Linked DNA regions of Rattus norvegicus. The protein of the gene in region 1 interacts with the protein of each later gene in a biochemical or structural test. Links are inferred from orthologs where the notes say so. Each region holds a gene or a part of one and is shown on either strand. Other genes may lie near its edges.

Region 1 (4,720 bases):
CTGGCACAGGATGTCTAAATTAGAGCATTAAATCCTTTAGTCTACTCCAGCATGGGGATATATTTGAAGCGCCTCTGTCCGCACGCTTTGTAGAAAAACACAGTTTCAATTCAACAGCTTTGTTCTTTTCATAGGTGGAGAAATGAGAAGCTGCGAACATTATTCTCAAACGTGCCAAATCCTGTCTCAAGAGATTAAGCCTGAGCAAAACTCGTCTCAACTCCAGCCCCTGCTTCTGTCTTTGGACGAAGAGAACACAGGAGAACATCAGGGCTTTTGACCTTTCCATGTTAACCCCACCTCAGCTTCCAGGTCCAGCATCTTTCCACTGGCAGCCCTGGGCTCTACAGTGACTTTGCTCCCTGCCCTGGGGACTGTCTCTCTCCCTGTATTCTTTGCTACCCCACCGCCAAGCTGGGATTCCATGAACGTCAAGGGCTGATACTTTTAGGTAAAGAAATGGTGAAGTTATCACGTCATTGCTTTAAAAGATATTGAAGAAGAAAAAGAAGAAGAAGAAGAAGAAGAAGAAGAAGAAGAAGAAGAAGAAGAAGAAGAAGAAGAAGAAGAAGAAGAAGAAAAAGAAAAAGAAGAGGAGGAGGAAGAGGAGGAGGAGGGCGGTTAGAGGCTTGGGAGATGGCTCAGCAGTGAAGAACTACTCCTTCAGATGACCCAAGTTCAATTCCCAGCACCCACGTCAGACAGCTCACAACCACCTATGGCTCTGGCATCAGAATACCTGATGCTGTCTCTTACCTCTTCTAGCCTCTGTGGCCACCCCCACACATGTGGCATGTACTCACACATACACACACTAAAAACAAAAATTTTTTTAAGGCCAAAGGTTCGCATTGAACTCCATTTGTTGGACTGAACAAGATTCAAATGAGAATGGGAACACAGGATACCAGAGGGCATTGATGCAGCTCATGGGTGGCCTATTTGACCTGGACTTAGTTCTAAGCAAGATGACAGGCGAGAATGGCAGAGGACGGTAGAATCCGTTGGGGGCGAACGCGGTGGCTGGCATGTATGACTGATGATTCGTGGCAGTCAATGCGGGGAACATAGAATCATGTGACCTCCCATGTCTTCTCCACAATACCAGTTTGTCACAGATTTGCCATCAGTTGTATTTAAGGTTATCGTCATACTAGACAATTCTGTTTAACACCCAAAATCTTAAAAAAAAAAAAGAAAGAAAAAAGAAAAAAGAAAAAAGAAAAAGAAAAAGAAAAAAAAGAAAGGAAAAAAGGAAAAAGAAAGAAGGTGTGGACGTTTTCCATACTAAGTCAAATACATAAGTCAAGCTTAGCATGACCAATAAGACATACCAAGACTACACATCCAGTAATACATTCTTTCTCTGAATGGATATATTCTATAGATAATACCTATGACATCTAAGAGCTATTGTGTGTGCGCATGAGAGAGAGAGAGAGAGAGAGAGAGAGAGAGAGAGAGAGAGAGAACAAAGCCACATAGAATGCCTCACCATCACGAAAAGAAGCAAAGTTTGAAAACTTCCAAAGGGGAAACCAACAGAACATCGGCGATCAGAAGTCAGCAAGGCAATGACGGCTGCGGCTTCAAATTTAGGCTTGTTTATACGGTTAAAAATAAAGTGCAGCCACGTTATCTTCCAACGAGAAAACGTCATTATTTAATAAACGCTGATCTTACATTTTATACCAAGTTGACCTTCAGCGGTACAAAGAACAGCGACGATCTACACAGCTGATGTTCGAACCAAAAAAAGAACCCCAAAATCTGGCTGCGTGTAAAAGTTGCTGTCCTCTGTACCGAAAGATGCCTGCCGACTACCACTCTAACTCTAACTCAGAACATTTGCAGTCAAGTGTAGCTGGAAAGGTTGATAAAAACGTTTGGGGAGCCATCCATTTCTTGTGAAATCAATTACCAAACACATTATCCACTGCTTCCATTTGCTTCCAAAGCGTTCCCAAACACCCGGTTCCCAGCAGCAAGGGCTGCCGGCTGTAAAATGTTAAAAGACACTTGAGTCAGGGGACAGGCCAACAAGAGAAATGGGTGCGGTAAAGAATACAAAGAGAGGGTTGGGACAGATGCTAGGTGTTGACCCTTCGATTGTCTTCCTCATTCTCTAGTCATGCATCAAAGCATCCAAACAGTTTAATTTGTGGTCCTTAGTGTTGTGTCTTCAACTCTACATCTAAGTTTATCATGAGGATGTTTTAAAAAAAAAAAAAAAAAAAGCAACAAACAAAACCAACAACCAGCTTGGCTTGCCTCGCCTTGAATCACAGCCAGGAGGTCATCTTGCTGTGTATCAGCAACTATGTACTCGGTGCAGCTATGTGACCTGAAGTGGCAGCTGCGTGCAGAACCACCAAAATAGCAGGGGCAAGAGCTTTCTGCTGGCTCCTCCGCCCCAATCCCGCTTCCCCAACCCTTTCCTCCCACTGAGCACCATCCGACTGCAAAGCCCAGAAAGACCCAGCCCCACTCTCTGAGAATAAAGGCCGTAGGCCCACCACACCTTCCCTGTCCTCCCGGGGAGCCCGGGGTGCGAACACAGGAAGGAGGGCTCCGGGGACCTGGTAAGGACGCACGGCGTGATAGGGCACGCAGGCCGCCCGCTGCAGAGCAAGCCCCTGCCCAGCGGGGATGCACACACCCCGGGGCAATCTGGCCACCGCACCGGCACCCGCACCCGGGGTTCTAGGCTCAGCCTGGAAAGGACACGACCGGATCGGGTTGCCCCGGGTTCCAAGCACCCGGACCCTGCGCATGCACGCCTCACCTGTGCGGGCCGATCCGCACCCCGGCCTCCCTAGTGCCCGCGCCCCTCCCACGCCGTGCACCCCGAGCTCCTGGGGACCTCTCGGGGACACCCAGGCCGGTCCTAGCAGCCACTCACTTTCTGGATCCGCTTCAGCGCCATGGGGCAGGCGGCGGGGGCTGCGGCAGGTCCGCGTGTCCCGGGCTGCCGCCTCGCGGGGCTGCTCCGTGTGCGCCCGGGCGCGGTGCGCGAGTGTGCGGGCGGCGGCGCCGGGCTCTTTTGTTTCCGCCTTCGCTTGCTGGGAAGGAGCCTGCGCCCTCCCCGCCGCGCCCCGCCCGCCTGGCACACTGGGAAGTGTAGTTCCAGGCTCGGCCTCTGCCGCCCGCGCGGACGTCGTCTGGTCACCCGTGGGTGACAGCTGCGACCAGGCTGCTGCTTACTCCCTGCAGCCGCTCTGCAGAATAAGGGCCAGAATCTGCAAAAACCGGGACAGCAGGTGAGCTGTCGGCTCTTAGGAGCTGCTGTGAATCACGGGTCGCTCCTCCTCGCACAGACCCTGCAGCAGATCTTAACTTCCTTTTTAGATATTTCTGTTTCTTCTCCGCTCGCCCCCGGGAGCGTGAGGAGTCTTCGTCAATTGCACCCCACCTTATTTTTTTGAGGCAGGGTTTTCCCTTTATGTCTTTTTGTCTTCATCTCCCAAAAATGGAATTGCAGACAGCTTCCCACACAACCGACCCTTACGAGGTCTCCGGCATCCGAACTCGGGTCCTCAGGCTTGTGCAGCAAGCATTTTGCCCACTGAGGCGTCCTTCAGTCCCTTCTCAATTCCTGTGATCTCAGATTTTGCTTGTCCTTTCAACCATGTCTTCTTGGCTTGGCACCTGCAGGATGAGTTTTCGCTTTGCTCAGTCTCAGATTTCCGACGGCTTTGGTCAGTCTTAGGTTTCTGATGACTAAAGTCAATCCATTCCTTATCCGAAATGGTTTTGAGTCCCGTTTTGCTTCTCAAAACACTCACTGCCCCGGCTTCTACAGTGTCCCTGCAGCTAAATCAGCCACATCTGGGAAGTTCTCTTCTCCTGCTTTGCAGTGGTCCACAGAAGAACGACGCCACGCCCTCTGCACAAACTAGAGATGAGTTGCAGCCCAGAAAGGTCTGAGGGACTGTGCTTTGCAGAGGTCCACTCAAGCAGTCCTGCTCTGTCTGCACATCGGTCCACTTTCCTGTTCCCAGGTCCCCATCAGCTGTGGCAGGGGCCCTTTGCAGTCTTGCCTCTACTTAGCAGCGTTCTTCCGGGCGCTGTTTTTCTTACTCAGAACCAAGCCACTACCCCCACCCCCTGTGTGTGTGTGTGTGTGTGTGTGTGTGTGTGTGTGTGTGTGTGTGTGTTTGTGAAATTATTTCCCAGGAGCTGTACACCTTGTTTTTTGAGACAGGGTCACGCACAGGGACCTGAGCCTCACCCATTGGGCTGGCCTGGCGAGGAATCTGCTGTCTTTACCTGCTCGGCGTTGATTTTACACACAAGCCTCATCATCCGTACATTTGTTCATGGGCACTGGGGATGGAACTAGGGTCCTCATGCTTGCTGATCAGCACTTTATAGGCCGTGTCTTCCCACCCATTGTTGTTGTCGTTATTGTTTTATCTCCCCTCAAAAGAAGAGTGGCGTTAACATGCAATTCATCTTTTTAGCCAGGGACCAAACCATAGATCGGCCCTTCTTGTAGCAGATCATGGAATGCCGGGTCTTATACACACTAGAATAAGAATACGGTGAACCTGGGGTTGGGGATTTAGCTCAGTGGTAGAGCGCTTGCCTAGCAAGCACAAGGCCCTGGGTTCGGTCCTCAGCTCCGGAAAAAAAAAAAACCACGGTGAACCATTTTTCATTGATCATACCCCTAGACCCAACTCAGGAGTGTTAGGAAACACTTCTGATCAAAGAGACT
Region 2 (4,200 bases), on another chromosome or scaffold:
CCTATGAGGCGGTGTTTCAGGTTAAGTACTTGGTCCTCATTTAACCGTACACACACTCACCAGACTTAACTCCATCTACACATTAGGAGACTGGGCCCAAGGTCAGACAGATGGTTAAGTTGGGTGGAGGTAAACTGGTGCCTAGAAACTTGAAAATCAGACTGCAGAGTCAGTACCACACCACTGGAGCTAGGAAAGGATAAAATAACTCACCTTTTTTCACAAAGGAAAAGAATAATCAGCATTAATTAGTCATATTCCCAATGTCCTAATGGAATGAAAGTGGGAGGGAGAGCTGTCCAGTCTTTTCTGTGATTTAAAATAAAACATACTTCAAACAGTGGCATACAATCCTCTGCTCTAAAATACAGACCGGAACAGGAAACTACCTTTGGAGTTTATCCATCTTAGGGCCACAGGGTGAGGGTGTAGCTCAGGGTAGAGCATCTGCCAAGTGCTAGGCCCTACATTCAGTCCTCAGCTCCAGGGAAACAAAAAACAAAAACAAAAACCTAGAGCTAAAGTAAACACATTAAAATGTTTTTTAATTTGCCAGATAATCTTTTAATGAGAATTATAAAAGACCAAAAACATTTTTTTGCAAACTGCCTTTTTTTAAAAACAAATGATTTACTTTAATTACAAATACTGTGTATGATGATGCACTCTTTTGCAAAACCAATAAATACAAGAACCAATTTAAACATGTGATTTGCCCAAGACATTTGAAGAGAGGAAAAGCCTGATTATTTTATAATTTATAGTGATCAGAGTTTACTCCCTAAGCTAACCTTTCAGAGAGTAAGCCTGACCTGACGGCGTAGGACAGCAGTCGGGAGGCGAGACCATCCTGTACTTGCTTCAGCCTCGACGAGCTGCTCTGCTCCCTTTCCTTTCTGGAATTCCTATTTCCACAGAAGGGCTGAATTAAAAATGTCTAATAAATTGATTGAAGGAAAAGAAAGTATGTACTGAACACAAACTTCTGACATTAAGCAATTATGGATATCAAAAAGACGCTAACTTAAAAGGTACAAAAGTGAGAAAAACCTGAATTACAGAAAAGAAAGTCAAATTTATTTAATGAAAAACTAGAATAAAAATTAGCAAATACACACACACCAAAAAACAAAACAAAAAACAAAACAAAAAACAACCCCACAGCAGCACTGTGTGTTGACTCACAAGGGGAAAGCGGTGGCCCATGACCACGCAGATGGCTTGTCAGTTAAAGGAAAACCAACCACACACGTGCACGCATGCGTGCACAGACACACACCCCCAAAAAATTGTCAACAATACAATCAATCTACAACAAACACAAAGTTCAGAAATATTTTACAATGTTTCCTTTCTTAATACAAAAGATGCCCATCTTGGGTATATATATTTTTCAGTGGTTTACTGTTGAATTATTTTTAAATATATTAGTGTTACTACATGCAACTGTTTCCTGTATTAACAGCTTTTCTTTTTATTTACCTTCATGTCTAGCTTCTACCTACCAGGAGAGGTTTAGGTTGGCAAGCAGATGGGTGCCTTATTCTCTGTGAAGTCAAATGCAAATTTTAAACACTGGCCAGAAATATTTGATTGCCGTTTCAACACATGGAAATAGTTACATTGATGCCTAAATTGCCATTTTCTGCAAAGAGCTGTGCAATGCTGGTGTCAAACACTAGGCAGTCACTATTCATGATGGCTGTTGCAATTCCCTCATGAATAGACCGAGGGGTGGCTTCCCAAGTCAATCGCCGCCTATGACCATTCAGCTCAAGTCGATATGCAAAATTTTCAGCTTGCTTGCGTGTTCCTATCAGCTGTACAATCGCAAAGAACTGCTGATGGCCATCGTATTTTTCTTGTTTCTCCAAGACTAACATGAAATGAAAGCCAAAACAAGACTGCATCATCACCCAGTCAACAGCACCAGGAAGGTTAATGTCTGTAGCAAGGAAAACTATATCTTCTCCTTGCAGGGTGGTAATGGACTTGTGCTGATGCATCAGGTGGGGCATGACAGCATCCAAGGAGCCTTGCCACTTACAGGAAGCACCAGGGCAGGGGCAGGAGTAAGGCCTGAACTCACAGAGCTCCTCGTGCTCTGCCTTTTCGGTGTGCGGCAGAGTTATCTCACATCCAGAAGAGGCATATTTACAAGGGAAGAGTACGGAGTTGGCCACTTTCTCCATAGCCAAGTTGCGAATGGATCCCAACGGGCCCCGGCAGGTGGGACAACATGTAAGTTTGGGGCGACAGTTGCTACAAACAAGATGGCCACTCTGACACTGAAGAATAGGTGGCAATACATAGTCAAAGCAGACAGGACACTCGAAAAGACTCGCCAAGTCATTGTTGGATGCAGTTGTGCCAGTCAAGGCAGGTACCCTCTGGGATGGTGGACACTTTGAGGTGCCGGTGGGTAATGCTGTAGCAGTCTGACGGCTCATCTCTGTAAAGGAAAACAAGAAAATAAAAGGAAGCAGGGGGAAAGTTACAAATATAACACATTAGTAGATATGTATGTATACATGTCATAAATACTTGTAAAGCATACCACAAAATTTATCGTGAATAAAAGAATAAAATTAAGTAAATATAGTTTTAAATCCATATACAAATAAAATAAAAATTGAACGCTAAAGGTTAATTTTCTGGAGTTATATAATGAGTAAACTGTATTTCCAAAATGTTCTCCAGCATGTTTAAAATACTTTTTTGTTCTTAAAGCAGTGGAAATCTCTGGGTGGACTACACAGAATAAGAATCGCACCAGGCATTGTGGCCACACCTTTAACCCTTGCACTGCAGACACACATACAGGTGGGGATCAGGGAGTTCGAGGTCAGCCTGGTCTGCATACATAGTTTCAGGCCAAGCAGGACTACATATGAAGACCTAATTTCAAAAAAGTTCCTAAACAATAAAGAACTACAAAACTGTCTTTGTCTTAAGAACTTAAATACAGCTGGGCAAGATGGCACAAGCCTTTAACTCCCAACATTTAGGAGGCAGAAGAAAAGGAAAGAAGGAAGAAGAAAAAAAAGGAAGGAGGAAGGAGGAGGAGGAAAGGATGAGGAAGAGGAGGAAGAGGAGGAAGAGGAGGGGAAGAGGAGGAATATAAATTAAATACAGGGCTGGAGACTGGAGAGATGGCCTAGCAGTTAAAAACACTGGTTGGTCTTCCGGAGGACCAGTGTTCAAATCCCACCACCCAAATGGCTGCTCATTAGAGGCAGCCAGGGCACTCAAACATATTATGAGCAGATAGACATGCAGGCAAAGCACCCATTCACATAAAATAAAAACAAATCTTTTTTAAAAGAAGAAAACCTTAAATTACAATATAAACTTTATTTGGGCTGGACTTTTTTCCCGAGTCTCCACCTCCATCTATTTTTTCTCAAGTCTGAGTTTGCTCATAGCTTCAGGACCTACTGCTTTAGTCCTATGAAGTTCATATGCCAAAGACCATTAGAGCCGGGTCAACTCTTCCCAGCATGAACAGCATCATCACTAGAACTGTGCTCTGGGAATGGGCTCAGAGGTCACAGGGGAAGGAAACCCTGCCATCCTGTTATCTGCCTGCAGACGTCTACTCAGTCTTTTATTAAGGCAGCCAGGTATCACTTCTGTCTCCCATCAGTCAGTGCGTTCATCTGAAGACTGAAGGAATATAAGAAGTGGAGAAAACCACAGAAGATCAAACGCTGGGTGGGGCTGAACAAAGAGCTCCCTGAACCTGTGGGTTCCCTCTTGTGGCTACAGCTTTCACTGTAACTAACCACAAGACTTCTGAGTGTCTGGAGAAAGGACCAGCTAGTGAGGGTCACACACAATAAACAACTTTCCCCAGGACTTTGCCTCTGTGGGATTTGGCAGGTCATAATTTGTCTCAGAAATTGACAAAAGAGCAATCAATGTCCTGACAGTACACTCCCTGAGACTACACTAAACACAGCATTTCTTGCCAGTTATAATCATTTTGTTGCAAAGGCTTTAACATTTCAAAAACAACAGTGGTTACAAATATAGCCAAGTCAACACAATTGAAATTCTAGATTGCAGCAGACTCTAAGGAAACCAGGAGCAGCACTGAAAGTTTACTTTTTTTTTTCTTTTGACACTAAAGCAATACTCTCAAGTTCAAAGGGCAAAAAATTACTGACAAATGTTTAGTTTGCCTGTGGCTTTCCGTTT
Region 3 (4,200 bases), on another chromosome or scaffold:
AAACCTCCTGCTTAATTCTGAATGCCTAGCTAGGACTCTTAGCCTTGGGCCTGGTTTATGATTTGAGAGAGGTCTCAAGGGCTGAGAGTGTATATATTCTCGAAGAGCACATATTGCAAGTGGTTCACATGTTCAACTGAAAATAATGTCTTTTTTCATGGTGCTCTGGATCAGTACCCAGGCTGGCCCTGAACTCGTGTGATCTTGAGTTAAGGCTGGTCCTCTGTCTACGTTCTCTCTCAGCACAGCTGAGATTATGCCCTGAGATTCCTGGCGTTTCTGAATGTCAGCTAAGTGCAGTTCCTAGCTGTTGTAGTTTTTGTTACTATTAGGAGTGTTCCCAGTTCTTCTCCAGGTTCCCTTGTATGCTTACCACTGTTTTTTCCTGTTAGGAAAGGGGTTGTATTGTAGCTCAGGCTATCCTAAAACTTTCATATGTAGCCCAGGTTGGCTGAAATCCCAAGTACTAGGATTAGAGTGGTATATTGCCGTGCTGATTTAATTTTCCCCCTCTAATTTGACAAAGAATCTCCCCCTGTTTTTATCTCACTCCTCTGCTTCCTATGCCCCATTGGCTTTTGTTTATTTATTTGTTTGCTTTTTGAGGCTAAACTAGACTGAATCTAGCTATTTACCTCAGAGTGACCTTGATTTCCCTGCCTTCACCTCCCAAGTAAAGATTAGAGTCGTGCCACCATGCCCAGCATAAAACCTCAGGTCTTACTAGACTTCGTACTTCTGCAGTCTCATATCCAGCTTCCCATAGAGTGAGCTGTCATCTACCAGGACATAAGTCGTGTAAGCAGAGAATTCAGGTTGTAGCCATTGATAATTGTATTTGGAATGTTATTTTTTTTTTCTTTTAGTTGAATGTTTGAACCATTCGTAAAAATACTCTTAAAAAGGATATACTTTCAAGGTTTTACGTGTGTCTTAGGGTTTCTATTTCTGTAAAGAAACACCATGACCAAGGCAACTCTTAAAAAGAATAACATTTAATTGGGGCTGGCTTACTGGTTCTGAGGTTCAGTCCATTATCATCCCGGTGGGAACATGGCAGCATCCAGGCAGGCATGGGGCTGGAGGAGCTGAGAGTTCTACATCTTGTTCCAAAGGCAACAGGAGAAGACTGACCCTCCTGCATGAGTGAAGCTTCAAAACCCACCCCACAGTAATGCACTTCCTTTGATAAGGCCACACCTCCTAATAGTGCCACTTCCCATGGACCAAGCACATTCCAACTACCACAACTTGGTGGCCCATCCGTTTAATTCTAGCACTTAGGAGGCAGAATCAGGTAGATATCTGTGAGTTTGAAGCCGTCCTCATCGATGTTATATGTTTCAGGCAAACCAAGAGTACACAATGAGACCCTTTCTAAAAAGCAAACAAAGAAAACAAGAATACACCTTCAGCCAGGCTTACTACTGTAATCCCCAGTAGATCCCAGGGGGTAAAGATGTTAGTGGGAAAACTGAGTCTCCCTTTTCAGATTCATTCTCATTCTTTCTCTCTCTCTCTCTCTCTCTCTCTCTCTCTCTCTCTCTCTCTCTCTCTCTCTCTCTCTCCAGGGTTTCTCTTTGTAGCCCTGGCTGTCCTGGAACTCACTTTGTAGACCAGGCTGGTCTCGAGCTCACAGACATCTACCTGCCTCTCCCTCCTGAGTGCTCGGATTAAAGGCCACCACTGCCCAACTAGATAGATATACTTATTTTTATTGTATGAGCTCTGTTTGCCACCTGCTTGCCCAGTCCCTGTGGAGATCCTAAAACATCAGATCCTAGGAAATGGAGTTAGTGGTGGCTATGAACTACCATGTAGGTGCTGGGAATTGAAACTGGGTCTTCTGCAAGAACGGCCAGTGCTATTAACCACTGAGCCATCTCTCTACACACACAACCCCTTCAGGTTCTTAGTCTCACTCATAAAAGAATTTAGACATGGGGAGAAAGTCACGCCTTTTGAGTTAGGGTCTATGTTCGGCAAGCAGCCACGCAGCAGAAGCAGAGACAGAGAGGGCCCAGAACATCAGTGAGAGCTTGAAAGAGAAGACATTACATTTTTTCTGGGTAATTCAGAGAAATGCCGACTTCCTAAGCAGCTACTCCCAGGTGGGGTTTCTGAGAGGGAAGCTACATTAAAAGTCTATCACCACAGTGATGGGACAATTATCCCACCCATCTTTTTATCTGGCTTGAGGAAATCAGACTGTCTGAGGTGATTGACAGGCCCAACTGGATTGATTAACGTTTTGGGTCTCCACACAGGGCCACAGGTAGAACTTAGAGTCTGTCTTTTTACCTGGGAGTGGTTGGATGGGCTGTAACCAAGCCCAGATACCTCGGCCTTCTTTTCTGAGAAGACTTGTGTGGTGCAGCCCTGGCTATGCTGGAACCTGTTATAAACCAGGCTGGCTTTGAACTCACAGATCTACCTGCCTTTGCTTTTGAGTGTTAGAATTAAAATGGTGGACTACCATGATTTTTTTTTAATTTTTAAATTATGTGTATGTGTGTATGTATGTATGTGTGTATGTGCCCGTATGAATAGAGGTATTCTTGTCCTCTAGAAGAACAGCATGAACTCAGGTGCTGAGCCGTATCTCTGATGTATTCTGTTTCTTTTGAGTAGGTTCTGCCGCTCTTGCATTGCAACCAGTATAAAGAACAATAATAAGTGGACATGCCCATACTGCCGCGCGTACCTTCCTTCAGAGGGAGTGCCCGCAACTGACATAGCCAAGAGGATGAAGTCAGAATACCAGAACTGTACTGAGTGTGGAACTCTGGTGAGTAACACAACCACGATTACAAGCAAAGGTTTCCAGTGAAATTACACCTTCTCCAGCTCTCCAGCTCCCCAGCTTTGGGGACAGGGTCTCATTCTGTAGCCCAGGGAGGACTTAAACTTGCTATCTCCAGATCCAGACTTGGAAGTGTCGGGGTTGCATGCAGGCCCCACCACGACGGCGCCTTTAGTATTTGTGTGTATACAGCACTGGAGGTTGAACCCAGGGCTTCCTACATGCTAGGTGCTATACCACCGAACCAGAGCCCCAGCCCTCATTTTTCTTTTGATTTTGAGACAGAGTCATTAAGTTCTCTGTGCTAGATATGAACCTATTCTGTAGCTCCACCAGCTTTTTAAACATCCTTTTTGAGACTTCAAACTCTTACTTCATTCATTTATTTTCCTATCACCATCCAGAGCTGGGAAAATAGCATTTTTAATGTGGAATTTTTTTAAAAAAGGAAAACGTACAAAAACCTGTGTGTGGGGGCTGGAGAGATGGCTCAGTGGTTAAGAGCACCCGACTGCTCTTCCAGAGGTCCTGAGTTCAATTCCCAGCAACCACATGGTGGCTCACAACCATCTCTGTAAAGAGATCCGATGCCCTCTTCTGGTGTATCTGAAGACAGCTACAGTGTACTCATATATAATAAATGAATAAATAAATCTTTAAAAAAAAAAAACCTGTGTGTGGTAAGTAGCTCTTGCCTTTAATCTCAGCATGCTGGAGGATCTGTTGCATGTTCAAGGCTAGCCCAGGATACATGGCAAGTTCCAGACCAGCCAGGGCTATGTAACAATACACTGTCACAGAACAACAAATACCCCAAACAAAAAGTCAGTCCCCAGCAGTCAAAGAGTGTGCCTACTCTCTCCCCTTGCCTCAGAGCCTGGAAACCAACTGGATATTGTCCCCCTTCCCCTGGCCCTTAAGGAGTTATTTCTGACTGAGGTAGCAGGAAGAAGATTATGGCTCTCAGCCCTCTCCTCCCCCCAGCCACACCAAGTGACTGATTAGATTTGGTTACCTGGACCTCCTCTTGCCCGGGTCCTTTTCTCCTGTTAGGCTCCTTTCAGTCTTTCCCAGTGAGCTGAATGGACCCCCTCCCTCTCTCCCTATGTCAGCCACCGCCATGGCCTTTGAGGCAAAGACACACAAGGAGCATAGAGCATCTTCTGTAACTTTGTACCCAACTCTTATCTACTAAGGCCTTTGTGCGTTTACAAATATTTATACATGTAGGAATAATCTATCATGGGCACCTGACCAGAATCTGTACATAATCTTTGGGGACAAGCATCCTGATATCCAACACTAATTCTCTCTCTTCCTGTTTCTGATTTGGCACAAGTTATTTATTTACTTTTAATTATTTATTGTGTGTGAAGGGGGCCACACATGGACAACCT

What was found. The genes of interacting proteins can lie anywhere in the genome.
Region 2: the proteins of Ube2d1 (region 1) and Siah1 form a complex in vitro, tested with the Homo sapiens proteins (3 studies listed by BioGRID). The link is inferred for Rattus norvegicus from reciprocal best matches to the Homo sapiens genes UBE2D1 and SIAH1.
Region 3: the proteins of Ube2d1 (region 1) and Rnf125 form a complex in vitro, tested with the Homo sapiens proteins (4 studies listed by BioGRID). The link is inferred for Rattus norvegicus from reciprocal best matches to the Homo sapiens genes UBE2D1 and RNF125.

What each region holds. Positions count from the first base shown.
Region 1 is NC_086038.1:17,306,762-17,311,481, reverse strand, and holds the start of Ube2d1 (ubiquitin-conjugating enzyme E2 D1), read right to left. Parts: upstream 3,024-4,720; 5' UTR 2,927-3,023; coding exon 2,903-2,926; intron 1,603-2,902; exon of another isoform or gene 1,499-1,602; coding exon of another isoform or gene 1,496-1,498; intron 1-1,495.
Region 2 is NC_086037.1:36,572,114-36,576,313, reverse strand, and holds the end of Siah1 (E3 ubiquitin-protein ligase SIAH1), read right to left. Parts: intron 2,453-4,200; 5' UTR 2,451-2,452; coding exon 1,602-2,450; 3' UTR 541-1,601; downstream 1-540. UniProt on the Homo sapiens protein: E3 ubiquitin-protein ligase that mediates ubiquitination and subsequent proteasomal degradation of target proteins.
Region 3 is NC_086036.1:12,538,444-12,542,643, forward strand, and holds part of Rnf125 (E3 ubiquitin-protein ligase RNF125), read left to right. Parts: intron 1-2,631; coding exon 2,632-2,788; intron 2,789-4,200. UniProt on the Homo sapiens protein: E3 ubiquitin-protein ligase that mediates ubiquitination and subsequent proteasomal degradation of target proteins, such as RIGI, MAVS/IPS1, IFIH1/MDA5, JAK1 and p53/TP53.